Linked DNA regions of Cricetulus griseus. The protein of the gene in region 1 purifies or fractionates together with the protein of each later gene. This does not show direct contact. Links are inferred from orthologs where the notes say so. Each region holds a gene or a part of one and is shown on either strand. Other genes may lie near its edges.

The links.
Region 2: the proteins of L3mbtl2 (region 1) and Lin54 purify together in Homo sapiens (affinity purification with mass spectrometry; 3 studies listed by BioGRID and IntAct, counting the BioPlex papers as one, with this or other methods). This does not show direct contact. The link is inferred for Cricetulus griseus from reciprocal best matches to the Homo sapiens genes L3MBTL2 and LIN54.
Region 3: the proteins of L3mbtl2 (region 1) and Mga purify together in Homo sapiens (affinity purification with mass spectrometry; 3 studies listed by BioGRID and IntAct, counting the BioPlex papers as one, with this or other methods). This does not show direct contact. The link is inferred for Cricetulus griseus from reciprocal best matches to the Homo sapiens genes L3MBTL2 and MGA.

What each region holds. Positions count from the first base shown.
Region 1 is NC_048595.1:378,806,452-378,810,775, reverse strand, and holds the start of L3mbtl2 (lethal(3)malignant brain tumor-like protein 2), read right to left. Parts: upstream 2,880-4,324; 5' UTR 2,773-2,879; coding exon 2,749-2,772; intron 149-2,748; coding exon 1-148. UniProt on the Homo sapiens protein: Putative Polycomb group (PcG) protein. PcG proteins maintain the transcriptionally repressive state of genes, probably via a modification of chromatin, rendering it heritably changed in its expressibility.
Region 2 is NW_023276807.1:162,482,513-162,486,109, forward strand, and holds part of Lin54 (protein lin-54 homolog), read right to left. Parts: coding exon 3,535-3,597; intron 1,490-3,534; coding exon 1,288-1,489; 3' UTR 1-1,287. UniProt on the Homo sapiens protein: Component of the DREAM complex, a multiprotein complex that can both act as a transcription activator or repressor depending on the context. In G0 phase, the complex binds to more than 800 promoters and is required for repression of E2F target genes.
Region 3 is NC_048599.1:58,605,187-58,609,518, forward strand, and holds the start of Mga (MAX gene-associated protein), read right to left. Parts: upstream 2,818-4,332; 5' UTR 2,738-2,817; intron 1-2,737. UniProt on the Homo sapiens protein: Functions as a dual-specificity transcription factor, regulating the expression of both MAX-network and T-box family target genes. Functions as a repressor or an activator.

The DNA.
Region 1 (4,324 bases):
CTTCATTTTCTGCTTCACTTGACTCCTCCAAATAGGAGCTGCTCTCACTGCCTGCACTGCTGTTGTAACTCCGGAAGCTATCATAGCCCCCAAAGAGTTCCAAGTCATCATCCTCCTCTTCTTCCATTGGCTCTGAAGATGGCGTCTCCTAGTGGAAGAATGACATTGTTTAGCTTGGGAAGAAAATTTGCAAACCTGGTAATGACCCAATGTGGTTGGGGATTTGAACTCAGGTCCTCTGAAAGAGCAGTAAGAGCTCTTAACCACTGAACCACCTCTTCAGCTCCCTACAGGATATTTTAATATGGACAAAAGAGAACACAGATGGAGTTATAGCTGGATAAACCTACCATAAGCTAAAATATTATAAATTGAGCAGCTGGAGAGATGGCTCAGTGGTTAGGACCACTGGTTGCTCTTCCAAGAGGACCCAAGTTTGGTTCCCAGCACCTACAAGATCAATCATAACCTTCTGCAGCTGCAGTCCCAGAGGATCTGATGCTCTCTTCTGGCCTCTGTGTGCATCAGGCATGCATATGGTGCAGACATACATGCAGGCAAAATGACTATACAAAAAAATCTTTTTTTTAAAGATTTATTAAGTATATAGTGTTCTGTCTGCATATATCTATGCAGGCCAGAAGCGGGCACCAGATCTCATTATAGATTGTTATAAGCCACCATGTAGTTGCTGGGAACCAAACTCAGGACCTCTGGAAGACCAGCTAGTTGAAAATCTTTTTAAAATAAAAATAAAATGCTGGGTGGTAGTGGTACACACCATTAATCCCAGTAACTTGGGAAGCAGAGGCAAGCAGATATCTGTGAGTTCAAGGCCAGTCTATTCTACATAGCTAGTTCTAGGACAGCCAGGGCTAAACGAAATCCTATCTCAAAAAAAATTATATACATATTATATGCTGAAAATTCATTTAAGACATCTAGGAGGCCGGGTATCATGGTGCACACCTAATCCCAGCATTCAGTGGCAGACTCATCACTTTGAGTTTGAGGCCCACCAGGTGTACACAGCAAATTCCAGGTCAGCAGGCGTTAGATATCTCCTTTCTTTTTTTTTTAAAGGCTCACTTTCTCTGTGTATCCTGTCCTGAAACTCATTCTATAGACCAGACTAGCCTTGAACTTAGAGATCTGCCTACCTCAGTTTCTGGAATGCAGGGATTATAGGTGTACACCAACACTGCACAACCCTCTCTTAAGGAAAGAAAAAGAGGACATCTAGCCTACCTTAGCTTAACAATATGGTGCACAGCAGGATATTGGGTTGTTTCCCCTAGTGACTGCATGGCTAATTGCAGGCTGTAGGTTGTGCCTCTGCCCACCACCAACCTCTCATATGGGTAGCTTGGGTACAGAGCAAACTTCGAACTTCAAAGTACAATGTCTACTGAATAAATATTGCTTTCACGCCACTATAAAGTCAAAACATTATGCCAGGGATCAGAGTTCTATACAATAATGTGGAAATATCCCAAGCACCACACAAAGAAAAAATTTCCTGGGCAGAAGGCATTTGAAATCCATTCTTCCCTGTTCAGTATACGCACACCTGAATGATTTTGATTCAAAACAATTTTTATTTTGAGACAGGGTCTCTCTGTAGACCAGGCTGGCCTTGAACTCAGAGATCCACTTGCCTCTGCCTCCCGAGTGCTGGGATTTAAAGGCGTGTACCACCACCACCTGGCTCAAAAACAAATTTAAAGCTGGCAGCAGAGTACTCCTGCCACTGCCTAGCCCATTGTTCCTTGCAGTGTATTCAATAAACCTATTTCCTTCCTAAAAGGGGGCGGTGAGAAAACTGAGACTGGGACTGTCCCTGGCAGACCTGAGTAAGATGCCACACAGATAGTAGTAGTTTGGCAGCGTGTATCACAGCTTATAGGTGAGCTCTGACCCTAATCAGCTACTGATCCTTGGGTCATTTAACTTATGGGGACCTCAGTTTTCTCATCCATGAAAGAATACTACATAAAAACCCAAGGTTCAAATACCATCTCCAGTGCTTCCTATAATCCACAGCAAGTCAACTCCCATGGTCTCAGCTTCCAAAATGAGGACAATACCACTATTTAATAATATTTTGGGAAGAAGGAATGATAAAAGTAAAACAGTCAGAAGAGTGCTCAGTAAATGTTGGCTATTATTACTTTCGAAAAAGGAAACACACTTCAAATGCAAGGTGTAGTGGGTAACGGGCTGCTGTACCCCATGGAAAAGCATAGCAAGGTTTTGGGAACTGACATCCTTAGCGCCAACCTCTTGCACTTCCCAGCTGTGTCAACGTCCTGGGGGAATCCAACAGGCTGCTTGACCCCCTCCCTACAGAATATGGCAGTGCGTATACTGGGAGACAGACACGTAAAAGCTCCAGCACGGAGTAATAACCAATTTCTATTTCCCTTGACCTCCCGCGTGGAAGCGACAGGCCGCACAATGCCTAAAGCGCCGAACCACGAAACCAAGAAGACAAACGAATGCGTCAGAGTTTGAAGTCCAGTTCCAATGCCCCTGCATGGGGAGGCGTCTCCTCCTTCCCTAGACCCGAGCCCACAGCGTAACAGGAGCAAAAACGAACCCGGCTCGTCTCCGGTCGAACTAAACTCCTGACCTCAGTTTACCAATCCTGCAACTCTCCACCCCAAAGGCGTCGCTAAAACGGGGCGTCCGCCGAGTGAGGCGTTCGGGGCTCTCTTCCTCGGCAGGGCTGAGCCCCTTCCCTCTTACCTCAGTGCCCCGTGGTTTCTCCATGGTACCAAATTCAATTTCCTCAACCGTCACCAGGTGCAGGAAGCCATATTGCCCTCGCCGCTCACCCAGAGCGTGCTCATTGGCTACCACGCCTGATCTGCAGACCAATCACTCCGTAGGAAATAGGAAAAGCCGGTTCCGCGCTACCCGAACCCCGCCTCCATTACAGAGGGGCTGGGTAGCCCAGGCGGTTATGGGAGTTGTAGTTTTCTCCGGGGTGCTTCTCTCATCATCCTCTGTAAACCCACTTTCAATCCTTCCCAGTACCTAGGATGGACGCGTCCAGGCGCCAGACAAATTTTCGCACCCTCTCAGCTAGGAAGTAAAGGTGCTCTTCTACTAGGATGCCTAGAAGAAATGCCTAGTCTCTCTTTCAACTCAGGCAGGCAGAAACTGAATTTCTTTCTTTCTTTCTTTCTTTCTTCTTTCTTTCTTTCTTTTTTTTTTGGGGGGGGGTGGGGTGGGTTTCGAGACAGGTTTTGGAACCTGTCCTGGAACTCTCTCAGTAGACCAGGCTGGCCTCTAACTCACAGAGATCCGCCTGCCTCTGCCTCCTGAGTGCTGGGATTAAAGGTGTACACCACCATGGCCCCGCAAAACTGGAATATTCTTAATCCCTCTGTATGCTATAAATGCTCTGCTCGCTCAAAATACTCAGGCTGGGGCTGGTGAGATGGTTTAGCGTGCAATGGAGCTTGACACGCAAACCCTTTTACCTGAGTTCAAATCTATGAGCCCCTGACATAAAGATGGAAGGAAGGGCTGGAGAGATGGCTCAGAGGGGTTAGTTAGGAGCACTGGCTGAAGTCCTGAGTTCAATTCCCAATAACCACATATTGGCTCACAACCATCCGTAATGAGATCTGGTGCCCTCTTCTGGCCACAGGCATGCATGCAGGCAGAACACTACAAAATAAATAAATCTTTAAAAAAAAAAAAAGATTGGCGGGGCGGTGGTAGTGCATGCCTTTAATCCCAGCACTCCGGCGGCAGAGACAGGCAGATCTCTGTGAGTTCGAGACCAGCCTGGTCTACAGAGCGAGTTCCAGGACAGCCTCCAAAGCTACACAGGGAAACCCTGTCTTGAAAAACAAAAATAAATAAATAAAGATTGGAAGGAGAGAATCGAGTCCATGAAGTTGTCCTGACCTCCATATACACACCCACACTCACATCAAGCAAACACACACATGCTAAATAAATAAAAGCATAAGACTGGAGAAATGGTTCAGTGGTTAGTGGCTGTTTTTTCAAGAGGTCAAGGGTTTAATTTCCAGCACCTACATGGCAACACACAAACGTCTGTAACTACAGTGGATCCTTACCCTCTTTTCTGACCTCTGAGGATGACAGACACTAACATGGGGCATGCACACACACAACAAAACACCTATATACATAAAAATTATAATAATGATATATGTTATAACCTTCAAGCTAGGGCAAATGACTCAGGCAGTAAAGTGATTGCAGCTAAAGCATGGAGACCTTAGTTCTATCCCCTGTACATGATGGAGTATGCCTGTAATTTAATCCCAGCACTGGGTAAGCA
Region 2 (3,597 bases), on another chromosome or scaffold:
ACACACTTACTACATACAACTATAGAATCCTTGTAGGAGGGTAATAAGCATATGCTATTAGTTAGCAAGGATTAAGGTACCTTACAAAATGCCTCAATTCCAACACAGTTTTCCCTTGTTATAAACTCAAGAGTCCTATTACAATAGGTTCCTAAGAGCATACAGTTTTTAATTACTGAAAATGATTTAGGTTAATTTGTGCAATTATGAGAACACACATACTTCAGCCTACCAAATCACTGGCTTTAGCATTGCTGAATTAAACTGCCTTTATAAGAAGATAGCTCACGACAATTGTGAAAGCTGCTAGGAGGCCCGTTCAATAAATCAGGTAACACATATTGATTCAAACTTAGTTCCAAAAGTCTAGATACAGAGAACTGTGTGGATAAAAACTTCATCATACATAATCTCAAAGCTTTGTATCCTTGCTTCTCCATCCAAGTCAAATTTTGTACTTGATGCTCATGAGTCCTACATTATCTTGCCATAAAACGTTTACTTCAGTTCACACCATCTCTCATTTTAAAGTACTTATCCATAATGACTTTGACAATTATTGTAAAACATACCACCTCCTTCAAAGAAAATAAAGACATCCCAGAACATGTTAGCCATTCCTCATCACAGAGACACACTGCCCATCCGTCTGTCCCTTAATATTTTGTTTTCATTAAAGAAAAGACAACTTGAATATCTGAAAAGTGTGATTGGGATTGTTTCCCCTTCTGATTTCCCAGAGACAACAGATAGTATTCCAGAATCCACCCAAAAAAGCTGATTTTTCTTTAAAAGGATGGTGTTTTTCTAGACAAAATGTTATATGTTTCATTAAGAATCTGGGTATGTGGACATTCTACCTGTGAATGCTCTGGGTCTGGAGCCAAAGAATGGGTAGCTGCTTTGGCTTTTTCTACTGAACAAAGTCATACAACACCATACATTATAAATGATATTACAATAATTTATGAATGTACTTTGTCAATGGAATCAGAAGGACAGAACATCTAATTCTTAAGAAACCCAAGCAAATTAAAAAATATGTAATACAATAAAGGAAAAATATTTAAAGAAAAAATTTAGAAGGGACATAGGCAGAATTAACTAAGATTTAAAATGTACTAATTTCTTCATTTAAAGATTCTTCTCATTCAATATTATAGTTTCAGGTCTCTTAAAACAAGGGCTGAATTAAAATACAGTAATTGTTAAACTATCTTCTAGAAAGTCAAGTGTTCCGGAACCTTAAGTTTTCTGTACAGTCCACGTGCAGCTTTTGTGCAGGAGTTAGCAGTGCATGGCACAAGGGTCACTTTTTGCTTTCCCTGCAGAGTTGATGACGCTCATCAGACACCGTCCAAACTCCTCAAGTATCATCCGCTCTGCCGCAGCCTTTGACTTCCCCTTCTTGTCTGCCTGCTCTGCCTGGGCAAGGAGGCAGTTACACGTGGCTTCAGCTACTTCCTTAGTTACAAATGTAAATGGCAATCTGAAATGATGTTTGAGAGAGAAACACAGGTGATCATGAAGTTGACCTGGGATTCTACTGGTACCTTCGTGCTGCACCAGCAAAAGGGACATCAGTTTGAGTCAAACACAGCCTCAAGAGCTCTAAGACACAAGTTTGGTCTCAGTAAGCACATCTAAAAATATTTATCAGGAAACACATTTAACATAAAACACATGACTTACTTCCCAGACAATGCTATCTGGCTCAATAAAATCTGTACCTCTCCACCTATACTGTGCATTCTTTCACACAGATCTTCCCAGTGTGTGAATGCTCTTTGAGTGCTGCCCTGGCTTGAGGGCCTCTTTCCTGACACACAGAGGAATTCCATGAACACTACTGGGAACCAAAAGAACTACTGAAAACAAAGTTCTACCACACTCCCTCATATTAATTGTTAAAAAGAACAAAAGCCTGATGGATGTGTGGCACACACCTTAAACCCCAGCACTCGAGAGGCAGAGGCAGACAGATTTCTTCAAGTTTGAGGCCAGCCTGGTATACATAGTAAGTTTCAGGACAGCTGTGACTACATAGAGACCCTGTCTCAAACAAACAAAACAACAACAAAAACCCCACTAAATCCCCACCTTATTCCATCACAATAAATAACAAAGGAGTAAACAGACATGTTCTACAAAGGTCCTACAGTGTAGCCAAGTAGTTTCAAAGCCTGAGAGAGATTAATTAATTCAGGCAACTAACAACTTGAAGGACTAAGAACACCCTGTAAGCCAGTTGTTCTCAGCTTTCCTAATGCTGTGACACTTTAACATAGTTCCTCATGCTGTGGTCACCCTGGAACATAACATTATTTTTGTTGCTACATCGTTAACTGTAACTTGCTACTGTTATGAATTATAATTTAAATATCTGATATGCAGAATGGTATAACTTGACCCCTGTGAAAAGGTCATTTGACCCTCAAAGGGGTCACAACCTTCTTGTTGAGAACCTCTGTAATAGATCATTTACAAGGTTCAGTCTCTTAATTTCTCAAATTAATCTATAATACACTAATATAAATAAATCCAAGTCCAATTTACTGTGTTAACAGCAGACCTTGAAAAATACTGGCAACAGAAATGCTTCATGCAGTTCCCAGAAAGCTGAGACGGGAGACGGAGTGTGTTTTTTCCAGACTAGGAATTAACTCAGACAGAAAACACAGGCTACCTACTTTTGTAGGCATATATTCTTTTCAGGTAATTAAGTTATGTATTTATATATAATTCCTTTATATATTTTATATATAATTCTTAAGATATAATACCCTTGCTTATTTTTATTAATTTGTTTTTACTTACTGATTTCTTTTTTCAAGACAGGGTTTCTCTGTGTAGCCCTTGCTGTCTAGGAACTTGCTCTGTAGACCAGGCTGGTCTCGAACTCAACCTTGAATCCACCTGTCTCTGCCTCCTGAGTGCTGAGATTAAAGGAGTGCACCAACATACTCAGTTGTTTATTTTTTATTTTGTTTTGAGATGGGGTAGTGCTTTATTGTGCAGGCTGGCCTGGAATTCCAAATGATTCCTGCCTCAGCTCCTGAGCAGCTAACAGCAGCCACCACTGTACCAATGCATGACTTAAGTCAAACTTCTGCACTCCAGAGCTCTGCAGTCTAGTGAGGCAGGAAATAGGAGACTACACTACCACAGTGCAATGTGGAGGCCACGAACAGGACTAGTCACAGTCAAAAGTGCTAAAGAAATGAGGAGCACCACTGAAAGCACAATAAACCCAGGCTTTCTTAAAAGTTTCTCACAGTACATCTACCCAAGTTAGCAGACAGAAATCCTGTTAATATACATAGCAAACTAAAGGACTTCTGTGCATTGTAGGATCTGACAGTGTTCTCCCCCCTCCCAACTCACTTAAAAGGTAAGTAAGGTAGAAGGAAAATGGAAAATTCAGGTTGGCAACAGTGGAGAGTCTGGAGTTAGCATTGTCTCCCTAAAAAGAAGCCTTACTAAAAGTGAACGTCTGAGGCACAGATAAAAAGGCTTTGAGAAGAACTGACTCACTTTCCTCCTCCACTGTTCAGGGCTGGGGTTGGCCTCGTCAGCAAGTCTGAGATCTGAGAGGAC
Region 3 (4,332 bases), on another chromosome or scaffold:
GAAATTGCCAGTATTCCTGCTAGGGTGGGAAATTCAGGAGTTAAAGACCAGCCTCAGCTACATAGCAAGTTTGAGACAAATCTAGACAGGTAAAGAAAGAAAAAAAAAAAAAAAAAGGAGCCAGGTGGTGGCGCTTGCCTTTAATCCCAGCACTTGGGAGGCAGAGGCAGACGGAACTCCGTGAGTTCAAAACCAGCCTGGTCTACAAGAGATAGTTCCAGGAAAGGCTCCAAAGCTACACAGGGAAACCTTGTCTTGAAAAACCAATAAATAAATAAATAAATAAATAAATATGGGGATGGAAAACACAGGAACAAGATTATAACTACAAAAAGTACTATGTTCTAATATTAGGGCTGGGAGATGGCTCAGAGGTTAAGAGCACTGACTGCTCTTTCAGAAGTCCTGAGTTTAATTCCCAGCAACCACATGGTGGCTCACAACCATCCATTATGAGATCTGGTGCCCTCTGCTGGCCTGCAGGGAAATATGCAGGCAGAACACTATATACATAATAAATTAATAATCTTTAAGAAAAAAAGTGTAGCCAGGCATTGGTGGTGCACGCCTTTAATCCCAGAGCTGGGGAAGCAGAATCAGGTGGATCTCTGTGAGTTCAAGACCAGCCTGGTCTACAAGAGCTAGTTCCAGGACAGCCTCCAAAGCCACAAAGAAACCCTGTCTGGAAACACCCCCCACCTCCACCCCAAAAATTCTCCTACTGGACAGGTGGTGGTGGTAGCGCACACCTTTAATCCCAGCATTGAGATCTCTGTGAGTTCAGGGCCAGCCTGGTCTACAGAGTGAGTTCCAGGAAGGCTCCAAAGCTACAGAGAAACCGTGTATCAGGAAAAAAAAATTAAAAAATCTGCACTTTTCCAACAAACTCTGGAAGACTGAAGATGTAGGTCAATTGGTAGAATGCTTGCCTTAGCATGTAGGAAGCCCTGGGTTCTATTCCAGTATTGAATAGACCAGACTCGGGTATTGTGGCACACACCTGTAATCCAGGAACACAAGAAGATAGAAGCAGGTGAATCAGAAATTCAAGATCATTCCTGGCTAGATAGTAAGTTTGAGATCCATATGGCCTACATAAGACCCTGTCACCAAGAAACTGAAAAGAAAAAGAAGAAACAATACTGAGAACACTAGGCTATAAAAATGCTAGCTACTCTTGGATGGTGGTGGTGCACACCTTTAATCCCAGTATCTGGGAGGCAGAGGCAGGTGGATCTCTGAATTGGGAGGCCAGCCTGGTCTACAGGATGGTCAGGATACACAAAGAAACCATGTCTCAAAAAAAAAAAAAAAAAAAAAGTTAGCTATTTGTGTAATTATTCAAGTGACAGCTATTAATTGCTCAATGAATGTTTTCAAATTCTGTTCCCATGAGATTCCAAGGCACTTTAAGAGAAATCAAAAGATATTATAAAATATAAACAGTAGTACATTGAAGTAAAACTCAGTGGTTAAGCTCTTGTCTAGGACAATTGAGGCTCTGGGTTTAATCCCCAGCTCCCCCCCCCAAAAAAGTTAAAAGTGTGTTATTTACCAGATATGTCATGATACACACCTTTATAGGTTTTTTATTTCTACAAAGCCTTGACCTTGGTGAAAGACTGGATGGTAGGAAGCTTCAAAATGTTTACAAGTGTTAAGTCTATACCTTTTCAGACAGCTTTATGAAACAAATATATAGCAGAAATGGAACAGATCAAGACAGATAAGGCTAGTTGGGCATGGCCATACATGCCTTTAACTCCAAAACTTGAACAGAATCGAAGCCAGCCTGGTCTGCACTGCCTCAAAACGAAAAGGTAGATGGAGTGGTCGAGGGAGGTCTTTGAGAGAAAAGCTTCTCCGGCAGTAAATAATAATGTGCTCACTGTGTGATAGGGGATCAAGGGCCTATCCTAAAACACTCTAAACTCTAAGCAAGCAAGCATTCTGTTAGTGAGCCTCACTCCCATCACCACCTGTTATTTTGGTTATCTGCATGTACTGAGGCCAGGGAATCTCGGGCCTTAAGACGATAGGAAACAATCATCTCTACCTTGCTAAAATATAGACAGAAAGATGACAAAACTGGCCAAAGGCGCAGACCCTGCGTCCAACCTCCCGGATTAAGGTCGATTCCGCCGCAGCGCGCGGCTTTCTCACGGACTCTAGCCACGCTTCGAGAAGGGAGGGGTGGAAGCCGACCAGCGGGCCTCCGCAAAGTCGTTCGAAATCACAGGCTCGCGAGCCGCGGACACGTGACTCGCCACGCCCCGGGCCTCCCCCTTCCCCGCGCCAGCAGCACGCGCTGCCAACCTCGTCATGTGACCTTCACGCGGCCCCAGCGTTGCCCCTGCTAGGCGACTGTTTCCAGCAGCCATTTTGCCGAGAACTTGTCGTCCGTGCTCGCGCGGGAGCCGAGCGGACGCAACATCGCAGCCAGATTTTCCAGGCCGCACACGCGCTTCGAAAGAGCGCTCCAACAGTGAGGGCCCGCCCGAGCCTCACGGAACACGTCGCACCCCAGGGCGCCAGGAGGGCTGCGGATGCGCCTCGGCCTGCGATAGGCTGCGGCGCGCACGTGACGCCGCGGCGCCCCCACACACACACTCACCCTCGCCGTCCCCCTGCCCACGGAAAACACCCACGACAGGCTCTCAACGCCTCGGGCCGAGTCCCCGCCACTGGGCGCGCGGGGACGGACGGAGCGCGTGACAAACGAGGCGCCTGCGCGTACCTGCCGGGTGGACGGGAGTCGGCCCACGCCGCGCAGCTCCGGGGTCCCGGGATCGTCGCGCTGCCGGACCACCCGGCTGGCCATTGGCTGCCAGGCCCAGTCACGTGCCGCGCGCAGGCCCGCCCACAGCCGCTAATCACCTGGCACGGTGCTCGAAGCGGCACCGAAAGTGGCTCGCACGCGCAAGGGGAGCGTGGCCACAAGACCCTGCTTGTGCCCTTTACCGGGCAGCGTCCGCAAAGGGGGACCGAGAGAGCGGGGTCCCGAAACTAAGTAAGATCACACCTACCGGCTTAACTTCGCCTGCCCCTCCAGGAGCCGTGAACCATCGCCCTTGGGCGCTCCCCGTTGCACGCCGGGATGCGTCTGGCGCCCCTCAGTGTGCTGCAGAGCATGCCGGGAAAGCCACCTCTCCCGTTTTCCTGGCTGTCACCTTTCGAGCTTTGCTTTGGTGTCCCTTTGAAAGCCGGTCCCAGGACGAGGTGGTTTGGGTAATTACTGGCCTGTGACAGTACACCAGGCACTTTCAGTCCCTCCTCCCCTGGTTGTTTGATCGGTGTGTTCTTGGGGAAACCGCTCAGCCTGCCCTCGTGGAGCCGCGCCTGCTGACTTGGTGAATGTTGCAGAAAAATAGCAAAGGTGTTTTTACCTTCACCAAGAACCAACCAGCCTTCCGTGGTCAACGGACTAGAACGCTAACTTGAATACTGTCTACCGCAGTCTCCACTTAGGAATGGTTGTAATTCTTAGAATTTCTCCAGGAATAGCCGACCTTTCTCAATAAGCTTACGGTTGGGGAAATGGGAGGAGTTGGGGTTGTTTTGTGTTTTTTTGTTTTTGTTTTTAAGATCGACAGCATGCCCCTTGCATTGGCCCTGGTTTGCCTAAACCATTTGTAGCACGTTGGAATTACGAAAAAAAACGTGCTAACACTAAGAAAAAGTGGGCTTTCACTAGGATGAGTTGGTTTTGTAATGCATTAGCAAATTTATCGCTGAGCCTAACCTTGTATTCTACCCACAATGAAGCGCCCGCTTAAAATAATTCACACCTCATCTGCTAAGAAGTACACTTAGCGGCTTTGATGATGTCAAAATTTTTATAAGTCTCAAAGGATGGTCAGCTTGAGAAATTTGACTAATCCTGGCTCTCACAAGCACATATTTATAGACTAGAAGTTAGGTAATAGGCATATTTATAATATTACAAGACAAAACTACAGGGCACACTCCTGGTTATGGGGTACTTCATCACTCAAATATCACAAAATCAATTCCTGGACGAGAAAACAAAAGCATTAAATAAACATATATTGTCATTTCTGTTGAAGCTTATAAAAAAATTCCAGTCTTTATATTTAATTCTAGCAACAACTCTGAGAGAAAGCTACTATACTTATATTTCCATCCCTCAGGGTTTCATGGGAACCAGAAAATATATTTTAATATGTTCTCTAGGCAAATCGATGTACTGGGTTTACTATCTAGTGTCTAGAGCTAGGGATGTAGCTCAGTTGGTTGAGTGTTGTCTGGCATGCAGTCCTCTGCACCCGGATAAACCATGTTTAGTGGCACACATCTGTAATCCCAGCACTC